Neurospora crassa OR74A: one gene and its partner. The protein of the gene in region 2 binds, or shares a complex with, the protein of the main gene of each other region. Links are inferred from orthologs where the notes say so. Each region holds a gene or a part of one and is shown on either strand. Other genes may lie near its edges. The genes, in order: ilv-4 and NCU07982.

Region 1 (7,829 bases), on a different chromosome or scaffold from region 2:
GGAGTGAAGCTCAAGTAACCAACCATTAAACAAGCTCCAATTCGTCAGACCTGCATGTACCCGTCCCTCACACTAAGTCTAGGGTTCTTATCCTGAATGACACACCTCATGCTGAGCTCCATTGGCGGTTGGAGGCGGGAATCAGCTGTGGCTGGGCTATTTGATTGTGAGCGTGAAGGAACTGAGTATGTAAGACCGCTCAAAGAGAGAGAAAAAGATAAAAGCAAGAAGGATAAAATAAAGAGTTGGAAGACAAACGTGCAGATAGCCGGTATCGGTGCAGTTTCAAAATCAAATTGTTGTGCAATTCAACTCTTGGCTGTTATCTTTTGGCCCAAGAGACCTATTCCCTGCTACCAAGCTCATCCCCGTAAGGGCCCTCAACAGTGAGCTACTTAATCGTCTTGTTCCTTGACTGTGGGTTTTGCAGACTGGGAAGAGGCTATTCCGAAAGTCTGGGGCTGAAAAGAGAAAGGACGAAAGACCAGGGTACCTGTGAAGAGTCACGGTTCGCGAATTGATTCATGAAGGAAGTGGAAAGGGCCTTGATAAACACTACCTCCTAGTACTGCAGCTTTCCCCCCAGGGCCACTCTTCCTGGCTGACTCACTTTCCCACTTCTTTCACAACTCATCTCTCATTTCTTAAGATACCCCATTGCACTTTTTCTTCGTTTGACATTTCTCTCCTTCCTTGTCCTCACCAGATACCCGTCTCACCTCACCATCGCCATCATGATGTCCCGGGCAACTACTCGCACCATCAAGTCCGCTGTCGGACAAATCCAGGCTCGCTCTGTGTCCAACAGCGCCGCCAGCAGTACCCCCCGCCATCTTCTCTCCATCAGCCAGCTTAGCCCTGCCGAGTTCTCCAAGCTTGTCCTCAATGCTTCTGCTTACAAGCAGGCCACCAAGGCCGCCTTCGCTGCTGGCCCCGGCCAGGTACCCCGCACTTTGGACGGCAAGCTAAAGGGACGGACCGTGGCCATGATGTTCAGCAAGCGAAGCACCAGGACCCGTGTCTCGACCGAGGCCGCTGTGGCCCTCATGGGCGGCCACCCCATGTTCCTCGGCAAGGATGACATCCAACTGGGTGTAAGTGTTAACTACCGTCTCGGCTCCATCGTCCCTCCCCTTGCCTAAAGGAGACACATACATGCGCAACGACCAGCACCTCGATCGCTAACGACACTTTCCACAGGTCAACGAGTCTCTCTATGACACTTCCAAGGTCATCTCCTCCATGACCTCGTGCATGGTAGCCCGCGTCGGTCCTCACTCCGACGTCGCCGACCTCGCCAGGGACTCATCGGTACCTGTCATCAACGCCCTGTCCGATGACTTCCACCCGCTCCAGGCCATTGCCGACTTCCAGACCATCCACGAGGCTTTTGCCACCAAGCCCGCCCACGAGGCCAGCCTCGGACTCGAGGGCATGAAGGTCGCCTGGGTCGGCGACTCTAACAACGTACTTTTCGACATGGCTACCGCCTGCGTCATGCTGGGCGTCGACATTGCCGTCGCCTCGCCCGCCGGCTACGGCATTCCCGACCGCATGAAGCAGATCATCCTCAGCGTCGCCGAGGGCGTTGCCAAGCCCGGCAAGCTGATCGAGACTACGGTCCCCGAGGAGGCTGTCAAGGACGCTGATATCTTGGTTACCGATACCTGGGTGTCCATGGGTCAGGAGGCCGAGACCCAGAGGCGTCTCAAGGCGTTTGCCGGCTTCCAGATAACCAACGAGCTGGCTAAGCGTGGCGGCGCGAAGCCCGGCTGGAAGTTCATGCACTGCCTTCCTAGGCACCCTGAGGAGGTTGATGACGAGGTTTTCTATGGTCCTCAGTCCTTGGTCTTCCCCGAGCCGAAAATAGGCTCTGGGCTGCCGTCTGTAAGTGAAGCGATCTTATTCTGCCCCGCGGATGAAGCTTGAGCTAATCACGTTTGTGCTTTTACCTAGCTGCCCTTGAGGCTTTCGTCGTCAACAACGGTAGGATACTTTGAGCAGAAGCGATATGACAAGGTTTCTTTTGGTTGCATCTTGGTTCTATCCACTCTTCGTACATCGTAAGCATATCATGGCAGCAGTAAGGCAGGCGTTGTATTCCATGGGTTAAGGGGGTTTGGTTGGTTAATATAACCATATTCTCAGTTACACACAAAAGTTCTTGGCTTTTTTTTTTCCCTCCTTCACATCGGTTCGTCTTATTGTATTCTATCTAGACGGGTAATAAGACAAAAGAGAAACGACATAAAATGATGACAGATTTTTCGAGATGCTGCAAAAGGCTGATCAACTACTTTTCATGTGATTCTTGTAACGCCGCTGCAGCTATTAGAATAGACGAGGCACATGAAGACAATTCTGCAAAGTGCGAAAATAAGAGGACCAATTGACCAATCCGATCCACAACTCCTGGGTAAATCCTTTCCCATTTTTCCCCCATTCCTTTTGCACACACCATCCCACATTTAACCAGGGGGAAGCTGGCTAGCATCAACAACGTCATCGGCCTCCTTCACATGGGTCTCCTCGCCGTGCTCGTAGAGAGGAGAGCGGGGCAGGGCCATGAGACCAGTACGGGCGGACTCAAGAATGCCGAAGGGGGCAATGAGCTTGAGGAAAGAGTCGATTCTGACGGGCTTCGCGGAGCTGTGGAAGAGTGGTTAGTAAGTAAGCTTGACAGGGGCGCGAGACCAAAGGGTGAATCAAACTTACACTTCGACAATGCAGCTGTTAGTGCTAATATCCAATACCTTGCCGCCGAACTGGTGGGTGAAGTATGTGATGCTCTTGAGATGCTCATGCTTGTGCCTCAACGCCTCGCTGGCGACCAAGCGGCTGGGGTGGAAGTCCTTGGCAGTCTCCTCCAGGCTGTGCTCGCCGCCATTCTCGAGCTTGCCAGATTCGCCCTCGGTGGCCTCGGCGGTGATCTCGCGGTGGTGAGCGAGAAGTTCCTCAAAGTACTCGGGGCCGAGAATGTTGATCTTGGCCAAGAGCAACTCTCTCTGCACGAGAGCGGCCTTGCTGTAGTCGAGAACGGCCCAGACGGGGACCAAGTCCTCCAACTGCCTGCGCGCCTGCTCAACGACACCGTCCTGACCGGTCAGGACAATGGTCATGCGGGAGAGATCATCAACCTCGGTGTTGCAAACAACGAGCGAGTCGATGTTGAAGCCTCTGGCGGCCAAGATACCCGAGACGCGCGACAGCACACCAGGCTCGTTCTGGACCAAGCAGTTCAGGATGTGACGCTTGGGAGGGGCGAGCGAGGGGGAGGGCGTCTCGTAGAGGATGTTGGAAACGGCGGCCTGGGCGGACGACCAGGCAGGAGGAGCGTCGGCAGCGGGGAGAGGCGCATGGCGGCGGCGGATGGCCTTGTAGGCAATGGCAGAGGTCGAGCTGCTGTGGGAGCTGTACCGGACGCCAATGGCCGCCGGAAGAGACTGCCGGGCGACGGGAGCGGCATCCCTTGCCTTCGCCGATATCCGGCGCAGTGGCGCGGACATCACGAGGCCGCGAGACGCCATGGTCGTCGCGAGTATAATGTATAGAGAGAGGGAAGTTTGCTTCACTGCCCCTCGTGCAAATCGATCCGGAGCCGACGAGTACGTATGCTACGGTGGTGGTGAGCTGGGAGGGGGGAGGTATGTACAGACAGATGGAGGCACGAGGTGGGTTGGAGGATGGCAACGAGGTGAGGAAATGGATGGATCAAACCCACTGGATATGTTTTCACCAGCCGCTAGTGACTCACCCGAACATCGGAGCTCGATGGAGGATCAGTGATTAACACAGGGCTCTAGACGTGGCTCCAGGCCCTCGTTGCTAGCGGGATGCACTGGCGATGTGACCGATGTGACCGCCGATTGTGGAGGCCAACATGGATCGACCAATGTAAAACAGAGGAGCCCCAGCTACTTAGTCCCAAGCTCGGGTTGCCGAATGGTAGTGTCGCAAATTTGCCTGTCTGCCGGCCGAAGCCCGCCCGGGCCTCCAGTCGTGGCAGTTGAAGCTTCGTTGTGGTGCCGTTTTTTGTTCAACCTACCTCTAGGTAGCTTATCGGCATTGTAGTGTAGCTTGACGCAGTCGGCTGGACACTCAGAGGAATGAAAGACAATCAATGGGACACTCAGCAAATTATCTCAGCCATGTTGGCCTAATATGTCATGATTCGACCATTGTATTCAGATGAAAAAGTGGAAAAGTCCGTCGCAACCGGAGCGCAGACATCCAAACTCGGTGTTGCTCAACGTCCCGTCTGAAAGATCCGTCGTCCAACTGGCAATCTGAACTTCAGTTGTCGGGTACTTACTACTTTCCCGGAACTTCTACCGGACAGGGCGCCGTGCACCTTCATGGCCCGGCGATACTTCAGTTATCTGCCGCTTCCACTTCTGCAATGCGGTCCTGAGATCGAGAGCCCAAACCACCAAACCGGAAACGATCCACAGCATTTTGGGTCCAAAGAGCCAATCACAGACAAACCTGACGGCGCGCCCGATGCTCCACGTCTCACAGCCTCGTGGGTTTTCACAAGTCTCCACAGCCAACCCTTTCCCTTTGACGGGACAGGCTTAAATGTCATGCACTGCCGGCTGGTGTCTTCAAAAGGTCACGGTCCAACTCCAACTAGTGCTAGTGGTCTTCAACACAGGCGGCCCGTTTTCTTTTTCGTCCTTGTCAAGTTCAGAGTCCAACAATTCTTACCAGGCATCCACTGATCGTTTCTATTCCTGGGCGCGACACATCACGCCTCCATCAGCAGCCCATTCGACACATTTAAGAACCCAACCCGGCACCCGACCGAATCGCTCCGAATATGGACGACGCAGAACGTCGGAGCGCGAAGCGCTCTCGCTTTGACCAGACCGAGCCTGAACCCAAAAGAGTATCACGCTTCGACCGCCGGTCTCGTTCTCCTCCCGCGAGGAAGTCGGACTCCGGCCGGGATCGCGACCGCAGCCCTCTTTCCAAACCCCGTGATAGCGCGACTCCCGATTCCACAAAGCCAGCAGTTGACCCTGCTGCTGCCGCTGGTATGCATTTAGCTCGCGATATAGAGGCCTTTTATATCAATTGTCGCTAACCGCTTTGTAGCTGCCGCTGCCGCCCGTATTCAAGCCCAGCTACAGGCTCGGAAAGGAATCCAACATGTCGATGTCCCACCCGTTCGATCTGCCGGTACCAGAGAGGGCAGCGTCCCCGCGAATATCAATGGAGAGATGTACATTTCCGATGGAGACTTCATCAAGGATATCGAGGTCAACGATCTCCGTAACAGATATCTCTTGACAAAGGGTTCGACCCAGAAAATGGTAATTACTCCTTGGTTAACCCACTCATCGACTGTCAGCATTCGCGAGACCGCATCTGTCTTGTTAGCGTCTCCGTTCATGCTGTACAATCTTGTGCGAGATACTCTTGCTTACAGGAGGCATGGTAGCTCGCACAGGGCCATCCACATTGCAATTGCTGACCTTGGCTGCTTGAATATAGATCAAAGATGAGACTGGTGCCGGTATGCCTCGCCTTTATACACGTTAAGTTTGGAGAACTGTTCATTGACCGTTTTCTGTTCAAAGATGTCACCACTCGCGGTAGCTACTACCCCGACAAGAGCATGGCGACACCTGCGGTATGTGATTGCTTCTCGAGACTGGTCTACAAGTTCTCGTTGCTGACGCATTTGACTTCAGAACCCTCCGCTGTATTTGCATGTCACGAGCACGACCAAGGAAGGTTTGGAAAAGGCCGTCGCCAAAATCGAAGAAATGATGAAACAGGAACTTCCTCAACTCGTTGACGAACGTCGGTTCCGCCGCAGGGACCAGGAACAAGTCGAACGTGATGAATACGGTCGTGTAAGTCCAAAGGCCCCTCAGCTATGTTCAACTGGGGCTAACGTGTTTTCAAGCGCAAATGGCCGGAAGAGAGAATCCCCATCAATCTTGAACCCGTCCCAGGATTCAACCTCCGCGCCCAGGTGGTTGGTCATGGTGGCGCTTACGTCAAGCATATCCAACAGGAGACTGGCTGCCGAGTCCAAATCAAGGGCCGTGGCTCCGGTTACATCGAGGCATCAACAGGCCGCGAGAGTGACGACGACATGTATCTGCATGTCGCTGGTCCCGATCCTAAGATGGTAGAGAAAGCCAAGGAGCTTTGCGAGGATCTGATGGAGAACGTCAAACAACAGTATGAAGAGTTCAAGAGTCGTCCGCCCCGCCAGTACAACGGTCCTAGGGATTACCGTGATCGGGAGCGGGAGCCCAGAGGTGGCGACTCTTACCATGGGCGGGGCTACAACAACAACAACAGCAACAACAACAACCACAGAGATCACCATCATGGCGGGCACCACGACAACAGCCATCACAGCAGCTACACCAACTCGCCTGCTCCTGGTGGTGGCCCTTCGGTCGCGCCCCCTACTCCCACGGCTCCTGCAGCGGCCACGACGGATTATGCTGCCCAATATGCCCAATACTACGGCGGCGCTGCCGCTACTGACCCTTATGCTGCAGCTGGTGCGGCTGACCCATACGCCGCATATGGTGGCTATCAAGCGTAAGTGATATCCGATTTCATTAGTGATAGCCAGCTAATGGTTTCAATAGCTACGTCCAACTGTATCAACAATGGTATGCCGCTCAGGCTGGACAGGTAACTCCTGCTGCTGCGGCTACTGGTGTCCCCGGTGCCCCCGGTGCTTCGGCATCTCCTCCACCACCGCCTCCTACTGAAGCAGCCCCCCCTCCGCCTCCTCCCCCATCGTCTGCTGCCCCTCCCCCACCTCCGCCCGGCGCTCCTCCCGGAATGTCTGGTGGCTATAGCGCGGTATGTAAAGCCCCATGTCATGTATTAAACACTTGAACTAACCGTCTTCCAGGTCCCCCCGCCCCCTGGCCTCTGAAAATGGCACGTTGACGACATTAGCAGCTTAGAAAGCCAGCGAGTGCTTAGGCTTAGTGGTTAGCCTTACATTCTCTTACAGCTGATGCTTCGGCAGGGATACGAATTCCAAAGAAGATAAAAAGAAATTGGCTTAAGCCAAGGGTAAAGATTGTTTTCCATTGTTCAGGATTATCTCATCACACTAGGCTGCTGCCCAGACGAGGGTCGATTAATCTTATAGAACATGACGAAGTGGTGGCACACTGACTCATTACAATAGCGACGCAGTCCCCGATGAGTGATGTGGATAGGGGAGGCAATGTAAGACGTCTACAAACGCTTTATTTTTCTGTGACGTTTTGCCAACAATGCTGCACAGGTTTCTCTCTTTTCGGTATGTTATGAGCGCATGGTAGGACTTGTTGGTTTTAGAGATGCTGCTGTTATTGAAGTCTAGGTCCAGAAGTAGCGAAGAGTCTGAGCCGGACGCTTGATCAGGTAGGTAGATGTTTGATTCGTTTACTAAAACGATGTGCACAGTCAACATCCCTCGACCTTGTTGGTACACTCGGTCGGCCTTTCATATCCATGCTTGCGCTTCAATATCTCTTTATCAAAGCTTCTCAGGTTCTCTTCACGCAAATGTCTACGGTCAAGAGGGGGTAGCAAAGCTCTAGCAGGGAATAGTCATCACACAAGAAGAAAAATAGGAGAACTAGAGAATACATGTTGTTTAGACCACTGGTTGAATTGCCGCCATTGTGAACGGACCTTGTGTTTGTTGGCAATAACAGCAATAGCTTCAAGATGATACGGCGGTACGTACACTAGAGGTAGGTAGAGGTACCTATCCACAGAAGGCTTCCAGGAACGGGTGTGCAGTAACGACAGTAACAATACCCCTGAATCTCATAGTGATGTCTCCCTGCTGCCCG
Region 2 (8,402 bases):
CCAGCCCTCCCACTATTAGCTATATAACCCCCCCATCCTCTCATCACCTCATCACCTCATCACCTCTACCGGATCTTCTCTCCACCCCATCACCGACCAGCACCGAACACACCATATTTGACTCCAGCGCAACAACCCAACTCAGCCAAACACACATTCCACTTCCACTTGGGCGCACCCAAAACACCACCCTACTAGTTAAAAGTCACAATGTCCGATAAACCGTCTACCAAGGCCGACATGAGCTCCGGCTCAGGCACCAACACGGGCCCTTCCACTGGCGCTGCTGCTGCTTCGGAGACCCGCGACAAGCCAGTAGCCACCAAGCCGGCACAGACGTGCGATTGCGGCCATACTGGTAGCTGCACTTGTACGCCGGGAGACTGTGCTTGCGAGAACTGCCCGGTACGTTGTTTCTTTTTCTCTCTCTCCTCTCTCTGTCTCAAGCATTCATTCCATTCCTCCTTGCGTTTTGTTTGTTCCGTTTCGTTTGGTTTGGTTGTCTAACTCCCCCTTTGGTGTCTTTTTTGAAACAGAACCTTCCTTCTTCTTCCTCCACCAAGAAGTCCCAGGCGCGGCAGCCTTGGACTTCTTGGTGGAGGAAGAAGAGTGGACGGTTGTCTAAGTTAAGTCCGTTGTTGCGGCCGAGACTCAGTTAGATGAGGATGATGATGATAGTAGTCTGGTTTTTCACCATTGTCCCATCGCTGTCACGGTCAGGTTGTCGATTGGACAGAGCCCATTAGTAGCCCGAGCCTGCGGCCATTCGAATGTTTATCTTGGCCTTCAAGCCACTTCTGTTCTCCTCCAAGATCCACCAACCCAATGGCTAATTGCTAACCCGTATGTTGTATCCAGACCGCTATCCAGGCTTCGCACCACACGAAGTAACCTTCCTCTAAAGCTTCGTGCACGACGAACATTACCCAGACGATGATTGCTCCCTCGCATCATTACTGTCTGTTGGTTTTCGTTTTTGCTTTTTGCATCCATCCACAGATTTCGGAATTCATGCGTGGGGTGGATGAAGGGGGGAGGCATTGGAAAGGGGGAATAGGTATAACAGTGTAATGTGACGGTCATGCGTAACATATGATCCGGAGGGAAAGAGCGAAGTTTGTTCTTCGCGGGACGGGAGCGTTGGATGGGTTGATGGATGATTTTTATTGAATCTTTGCTTTCTGTTTCTGGCTTCGCGCACACAAGTACCTCTATTACTCCTACCCTGAGCAAAGAAATGGCGTGGGTCGGCGGGTTATCTAGGGTAGCTTAGAGAAGGAAAAAAAAATGGTTGTACACACTTGGGGTTAATGAACTCGGGTTTACCCCTATTGCTTGCTAAACAATTGTTGTGATGCGTTTCCTCGGCAACGACGGCATCGTGATACCGTCCATGAACTGGAGGTAACATCTGTAGGCATACAAACTCATGAAATGCACAAATACCAACAAGGTGGGTGGGTATATATGATTTCATGGTCTACGAGTGTCACCGGTTTGGGTTAAGGTGATGCTTGGATGCGATAGAACTGTGATTGCGCAAGGAAAAATCGTGGTATCCAGTCATTCAAGGAAATAAAAATATATACAGGCCCGCAAAGCAGTCGCAACTTCATCAAACAGATTTATGCTTGTTGTACCCACACACAACCTCCTTGTGTGATCGAAAGTCACCTTTTGCACTCTTTTCTTTCCCTCCTCCCGGAGGTAAGAATACGCGCATGCAGCCCTTGAAAACGAAAAGTAGAATATGCGTTTTCACTTCACCCCAACCAAATCATGGAAATAGATCCCTCGCCGAACGTTGCCGGATCACCAACAACACAGACCCTTTTTCTTGTCCCGGTAATGCAGTTGTAAAAAAAGACATACAGCTTGTAAAACGCCGAAAGGAAAATCCCCATTTTTGACCAACACCACATGTTATCCATCCATCTTCATCGCCATATGGAATAGATCCAAATCGATGTAAACGATAAAACATTTAAAGACCGTGGACACCACCGGTACGCTTGACCATCAGCTCACGACGCTTCCTGTCACGCTCCTGGTCGAAGGTGATGAACTCATCCAGACCGCAGCCGGCAGGGACCATAGGGAGGACGGGAACCTTCTTGTCAGTGACGACCTCGAGAAGGGCGGGGCCCTCCGAGTCGATGAGCCACTTGAGACCCTCGACGACCTCCTCGGGCTTGATGATGCGCTTAGACTGGACGCCCATGGCATCAGCAAGCTTGACGAAGTCGGGGTTCTTCTGATGGGTGTGCGAGTAGCGGTCGTCGTAGAAGAGGTTCTGCCACTGCGTGACCATGCCCTGCTCCTCGTTGTTGAGGACGATGACCTTGACGCCAATGTTGAACTGAGCAGCGGTGGAGAGCTCGGTGAGGGTCATGCCGAAGGAGGCGTCGCCGTCGATGTCAATGACAAGAGCATCGGGCTTGGCAACCTTGGCGCCGATGGCGGCGGGGAGACCGAAGCCCATGGTACCGAGACCACCGGAGGTGATCATGGTACGGGGGTGGCGCCAGCGGAAGTGCTGAGCGGTCCACATCTGATGCTGGCCGACACCAGTGGCAATGTAGGTGTTCTCCTTGCGGCCCTCGGTGAGCTTGCTGAGCTCCTCGATGAGGGTCTGGGGCTTGATCAGACCGGTGCGCTCGGCGCGCTCGTAGTCGGAAAGAGGCCACTTGGACTTCCACTCGTTGATCTTGCCGAACCACTCCTTGCGGTCGGCCATGGTCTTGGCGTCAACCTGAGGGATGAGGAGCTCAATGTTGGTGGCAACATCACCCTCGACAGCCTCGGTAGCCTGGACGACCTTGTTGATGTTCTTGGGAAGAATCTCGAAGTGGACGATGCCACCGCGACCCTCGGCAGCGGCAGCCTTAGCAGCGGGAGCAAACTTGTTGAGGTTAAGAGTGACACGGTCGTCGAAACGGCCACCCAGGCAGATGATCAAATCAGCCTCCTGGACGGCCATGTTGGCGTAGGCGGCACCGTGCATACCGAGCATGTGAAGAGACTTTTCATCGAGCTCATCGAAAGCACCAAGACCGTGGAGGGTGGTGGTGACGGGGATAGAGGCCTTCTCGGAAAGGGCGCGGAGGAGCGCAGGACCGCCCTTAGACTGGACAACACCGTGGCCGGCGTAGATGACGGGCTTCTTGGCAATGTTGACGAGCTTGGCAACACGCTGGATCGAGGCATCGAGCTGCTTGCGGCTCAGCTCAATGGCAGCGCGGGAGGCGGCACTAGGGCTGGTGGGGATGGCGGTGTCGGTGGGGATGGCCCGGCGAAGGATACCAGCGGTGATATCCTTGGGGAGATCGACGAGGACGGGACCAGGTCTGCCGCTAGTAGCGATCTCGAAGGCCTCGTTAATGCGGCGGGGAAGCTCGGCGACACTCTTCACCATGACGTTCCACTTGGTGCAGGCTCTAGAAATACCAATGACGTCGGCCTCCTGGAAAGCATCGCTGCCAATGGCGGTGGTGGGGACCTGGCCGGAGAAGACAACCATGGGAGTACCGTCGGCAAGGGCATCGGCCATGGGGGTAACGACGTTGGTGGCACCGGGACCGGAGGTGACGAGGACGACACCGGGCTTGCCAGAAGCACGGGCATAACCCTCAGCCATGTGACCAGCACCTTGTTCGTGGCGGGGGAGGACGAAATCGAAATGGGGAGAGTTGTAGATGGCATCGAAGACGGGGAGAATGGCACCGCCAGGATAGCCGAAAATGTGCTTAACGCCGTGTCTGAGCATCATCTCATGGAAGATTTCACCACCGGTCTTGCCGATGAAGCTGCATAACGGATATCTTGTTAGCCTGGCCAGATCACATCCGTACTCGCTGTGACGGGGCATAGAACATACGACTCGTCCATGTCGGGCTTGCGCCCGGCCAGAGGCTGAACATTGCTAGGTGTAGGCTCAGGCTGGAAATGTTGGCTAGGGGTAGGTCTCGTCGCGCTGTGTTAGTTGTGTATGTTAGCCTTGTCACTGACTATCTCTAGATGGTCGTGAGTCACTGGTAGAAGGGGGCGGCAACCGGGCCAAGGGATATTTTTTGGAGAAAGACATACGCTGCGGCAGTGGACTGATTCCTCGTTTGCACGGAGCGGTTTGTGAGAAGAACAGCGGCCCTCTGGGAGGCAGAGAGGGTGGTACGCTGGGAGATATGTTGCGCCTCAGTCAACGCCTTCAAGGCGCGAGCGGCCTGACGTGATCGGAGCATCGCGGCCTTGGAGGATATATATGGTCTACTGGGAGCGGTTGGGAGGATAACGAATTGCTGTTACACGCGGGCGGCGGCGGGGGGACCACAAGCTATATCAAACAGTGGCTTTGTTAGAGGAGAATATCGTCGGCTGAGGACGCAGCAGGAAATAGAAATTAGGGAGGATTGTAGGTGATTCCTGTAATACTAGGAAAACATCAAAGGATTTTATGATGGATGATGGGGTTGGCGGAAGGGTAGAAAAGGGAGCAAGAAGACAGACTTACGAAGAAAGCGAGTGTCTCTTGTTGTACTTTATTAGATGACAATTGATGAATCAATCAATGCAGTGCAGTGTGGTGGTCAGTGTAGCGACTACCAGACCGAGACCGTCCGGGAACCGGGAGCAATGTGAGTCGAACCGCCGCCCGGGCTCAAAAATTTGACTCTGGCCGGCACGATAGTCATAAAGTGTGGGGTACTCTGGTCGCGACAGTCAGGCGGGTGGAACTCGAGAGGCCAGGTTTGGGTGATCTCAGCCAATGACAGGTCGCTAGCGGCTTGTTGCTGGCAAAGTGTAGTGGCGATTTCGGAAGCAGCCACTACGGTGCACGAGCCTGTGATTGGCTCTGGGTTCTGCCGATTCCTTTGAACTTTTGGACATTTCTCATCTTTCCACCAGAAGGCAAGATGGAATTCGGTGTGGCGGTTGTGAATAGGAAGTGTTTAGCTTTCAACTGAAGTGTCTTGCTCCATCTTGTAGACGCTTTGATCTCGTCTTGTGGTGGTCCACGAAACAGCCGGCCGGCTCCTTCTGTCCGAGCCTCGCAAGACCCGCCACCCTTGTTTAGCTTCGTCTTTTACGTTCTGTCTATATTCCTAGCATCCCCGAACCCGTACCGAAAAAGAAGACGGTAACATTTGACTCTGAACACGATTATGTAGTTGGTTCCTTGTTGGGACACACGCGACACAGCGGACAGCCGACGGAAGAGTGTGTGGGTTGTCCCAGTTGGAGTCATCCAATATCCCGTCAGTACGACTACACGTCAGGCACAAACATGCAGGGCAAGGCACCGTCAAGACCAATCACGGACGGCACCAGGAAAATCACAGGTACGGCACGGCACTCTGCAACGGCGGGGGAGCGAGGGAACGTGACTGCGGACCGATGTTTGTTCGGGAATTCATCAAAAATTCGGAGAAAAGGCCACCTCCACCTTCACCACTATGTTTCGGTGGAGAAGGGCAAGCAGCGTCACAGCAATCATGCTTTCCGTGATCATGGCTAGCACTACTTCATCGTAAATGTCTTCCAAAATGATAAACAAATAGTTTCATAACTCGAAAATGGCGAATATCTAGCCCGACAATGATGTGGTCGTGCGACTACATTCCACCAGCTTCACCGTCGACGTATTTGGGCCAACGCTAAGTACTGGTCCCGTTTCCCTGCATCGCTAGTGTCACACATGGCAGCCACGAATCCTCAGAACAACGAATACTATGTGGGGGGTGACTTTCCGCCTTCCAAGTTTGCTCTCATATTGCCCTTTCATCGTTCCTGAATAGCTTCATTCTCACTACCACAAAGTCAATAACAACCAAAACCAACCTTGCAACGAAGGTTAGGCATGTCTAAATAGGTGCTCCGACGTCGCTACCGACCATCACCAATATTACCAACCGTCAAGGTTCTTCTTTGGGACTGCGAGCTGTGGCCGAATTGACCAATCACGTCTCCAGCATTGAGCTGCGACAGTCAAATTGCTACCTCCGATATCGCCCACACCACTCCCCGCAAATCCACTTGCGCTGCCGTCCACCCTTTTCTCTGGTCCCACCCAGTCCACGCTGAACCCACAGAGTCCACCGATCCACGGCTCCAGAAATGTTTCCTTGGTGAGAGCCTCTCATCCTTGTCCATGTCAACAACAACTGCCGAGCATGCACCGAAGGCCGTTTTCCCGCTCTTGGCCGTTCTTCCAAGGGTTCAACAAACATCATGATACGCACGTACTCATAGCCTTGACGGCGTCGTCACTCCCGTCTTGACAGTTGACGTGGCCGGCGATAAGAGAGACAACACCACGGGGCATTGGCGGTGATATGTACATAGTCGAGATCTGCTAACTCCATCCGTTTCATGCCAGCCAGGATACGGTCTCTGAGGTCTGTTTCGTTGTTGACTGTTCCACTCGACATGCAGTGGGTAGGGGAAGCGAACCGTCCGCTCGGGTTGCTCACACTAACATTTTTAGGTGGTGAGTCAACTTCTCCTGATCAAGTGTAATTCGACGCCTGTCCTTTTTGGCCCTGGATCCAACTCTTCTCAAGGGTTTCGAAAAGGTCCATTGCCCTTGTCGTGATACAAAGCTTGGAATTCATATGCCTATTAATAAGTCTCTTGTCATCCAAGATTTCGCAACTTTTTTCTAAACTCATGATCAAAAAATACTGTCACCCTCCCCCACACGTCTAATAGGGTAAGGGGTGACAATATTTTTTTGACTGTCACTGTAGGACAAGAGAGGGAAGAATGACTGAATATTAGAGTAGGACACTCGACTGTAAACACTGAACCATTTAACCAAGATCTTGGAAAGAAGCTAGACTAACATTCGCAAACCGGGTTCATGACACACATTAACTTATCAGGACAATTAACATTACCATATCCAAACATTCCACGACCAAAACATCCCATTTTCCCGTACACATCTAGCCACCAAGGCCCAAGAGACCACTGTTCTTCTTCTTGCTGGCTCCAGTCAAACTCTTGGTAAGGGATCCAAGACCAAGACCCTCAAGGACGCGGTTGAGACCAAGTGTTCCCAAAAGGCCGTCGACGAGCCCACCAAGACCGAGACCGCTCAGCTGCACAACTCTGTTAGCACCATTCGCCAGAGCAAGAAAATGACGGGTAGATATGTGTACACCTACCAATCTGCCGACAAGGTTAAGAACACCGGCCAGAAGCAAGCCAACGGCAGCCAGGATCTGGAAGAGGGGCTCGTTGAGAAGACCCCAGAGAGGGTTGAGCTCCTTCTTCGCATGAGGCATGTCTTCAAGCTTTCTCTTGGCGTTCTCGATGCACTGCGTAATGTCACCAGTGAGGTCTTTGAGGACCTCAGCCAAATGGTACTCCTCAGGAGTGGCCTCGCGCGAGGCAGTCTTGTGCTTGGCGTTGGCTGCGATGCGGCCATCGGGGTCGAGGCCTTTAATGATACCTTTGGCCTCGGTGAGGATACGACCACCTTCCTCGATCAAAGGCTTGACTTCCCTGACGAGCGCCTCTTCGTCACGCTCATCCTCGGGAGTGCGTTCGGCCTTGTCGATTTTCTGTTGTTCAAAACTCGCTGGTCAGTGACTGATAGGTAAGTGATCAAAGTAATACACGTGAGAAACTCACCTCGGTGATCATCTTGCAAAGCGGGCGAATCTTGTCAAGACACTGCTCAATGCAGACAGCCATCTGGAGAGCCAGCTTCTTGTCCTTCTCGGCCTGCTCCCTCTTCTCCTTTTCCTCGGGCGACTCCTCTTCTCTAAGATCCTCGAGGAGTGTGCAGTGGCCGATGACAGTACCCTTGTAGTCGACAACGTCTCCGTCGTCATCAATCTCCTTACCGGAGCAAGACTGAGGGTCACCGGAAGTCAACTTGCCGATGATGTTACCGTCTTCATCGACGACGTTGCCCTCACGGTTCACCTTGCGGTCAGACATGGGGTTCTTCTTCCGCTCAACCTCCTCGGGCGTCCAGCGCTCAGCATGGCCGAGGACGTTGCCGTTCTTGTCGAGGACATCACCATCGTCATCGACAGGGCGACCAAAGAGCACCTTGGGGTCGCCATTGACGAGACGGCCGACGATATCACCACCAGGTGTGACGATGGTTCCATCCTTGGCAACGGTGCAGCCCTCAAGCTCAGAGAAAGGACCCTCCTTCATACCCTCGCGCTCGCCCTCGGGCACAAGATCGGCTTTGCCGAGAATATCACCGCTCTCACTGAGAACGTTGCCATTCTTATCGCACATGCGACCAACCATCCTCTTCACATCACCCTCCACCACGCGACCATAGATGACTCCCGAGCCATCAACCACATTGCCAGCCTTATTGACCCTCTTCCCTGCCAAAATGCTCTTGTCCACTTCGGGCTCGGGCTCAGGCTCCTCCTCGG

Evidence for each region.
Region 1: the proteins of NCU07982 (region 2) and ilv-4 are in contact, whole or in part, in a crystal structure (PDB 6U9D), measured with the Saccharomyces cerevisiae proteins. The link is inferred for Neurospora crassa OR74A from reciprocal best matches to the Saccharomyces cerevisiae genes ILV2 and ILV6. Residues at the interface, in NP_013826.1 of Saccharomyces cerevisiae: Arg211, Lys215, Trp216, Asn217, Ile236, Pro269, Ser270, Ala272, Leu273, Pro410, Lys411, Ile413, Asn414, Lys415; in NP_009918.1 of Saccharomyces cerevisiae: Gln85, Glu87, Ser92, Arg93, Arg101, Gln134, Arg137, Gln138, Glu140, Asp141, Leu142, Val143, Pro144, Val145, Tyr146, Ala147.

What each region holds. Positions count from the first base shown.
Region 1 is NC_026502.1:2,758,883-2,766,711, forward strand, and holds ilv-4 (acetolactate synthase small subunit), read right to left. Parts: upstream 3,864-7,829; 5' UTR 3,528-3,863; coding exon 2,716-3,527; intron 2,650-2,715; coding exon 2,469-2,649; 3' UTR 2,081-2,468; downstream 1-2,080. Other genes in the region: arg-12 (ornithine carbamoyltransferase), read left to right, coding at 735-1,094, 1,201-1,887, 1,957-2,067; NCU01665 (KH domain-containing protein), read left to right, coding at 4,820-5,036, 5,098-5,315, 5,497-5,518, 5,583-5,635, 5,697-5,861, 5,915-6,567, 6,618-6,837, 6,890-6,913. UniProt on the Saccharomyces cerevisiae protein: Regulatory subunit of mitochondrial acetolactate synthase, which catalyzes the first of a series of common steps in the biosynthesis of the branched-chain amino acids.
Region 2 is NC_026504.1:3,792,867-3,801,268, reverse strand, and holds NCU07982 (acetolactate synthase, variant), read right to left. Parts: upstream 4,668-8,402; 5' UTR 4,508-4,667; exon of another isoform or gene 4,331-4,507; 5' UTR 4,239-4,330; coding exon 4,087-4,238; intron 3,974-4,086; coding exon 3,878-3,973; intron 3,807-3,877; coding exon 1,985-3,806; 3' UTR 1,516-1,984; downstream 1-1,515. Other genes in the region: NCU07983 (hypothetical protein), read left to right, coding at 211-405, 859-891; NCU07981 (hypothetical protein), read right to left, coding at 6,942-7,097, 7,164-7,562, 7,633-8,402. UniProt on the Saccharomyces cerevisiae protein: Catalytic subunit of mitochondrial acetolactate synthase, which catalyzes the first of a series of common steps in the biosynthesis of the branched-chain amino acids.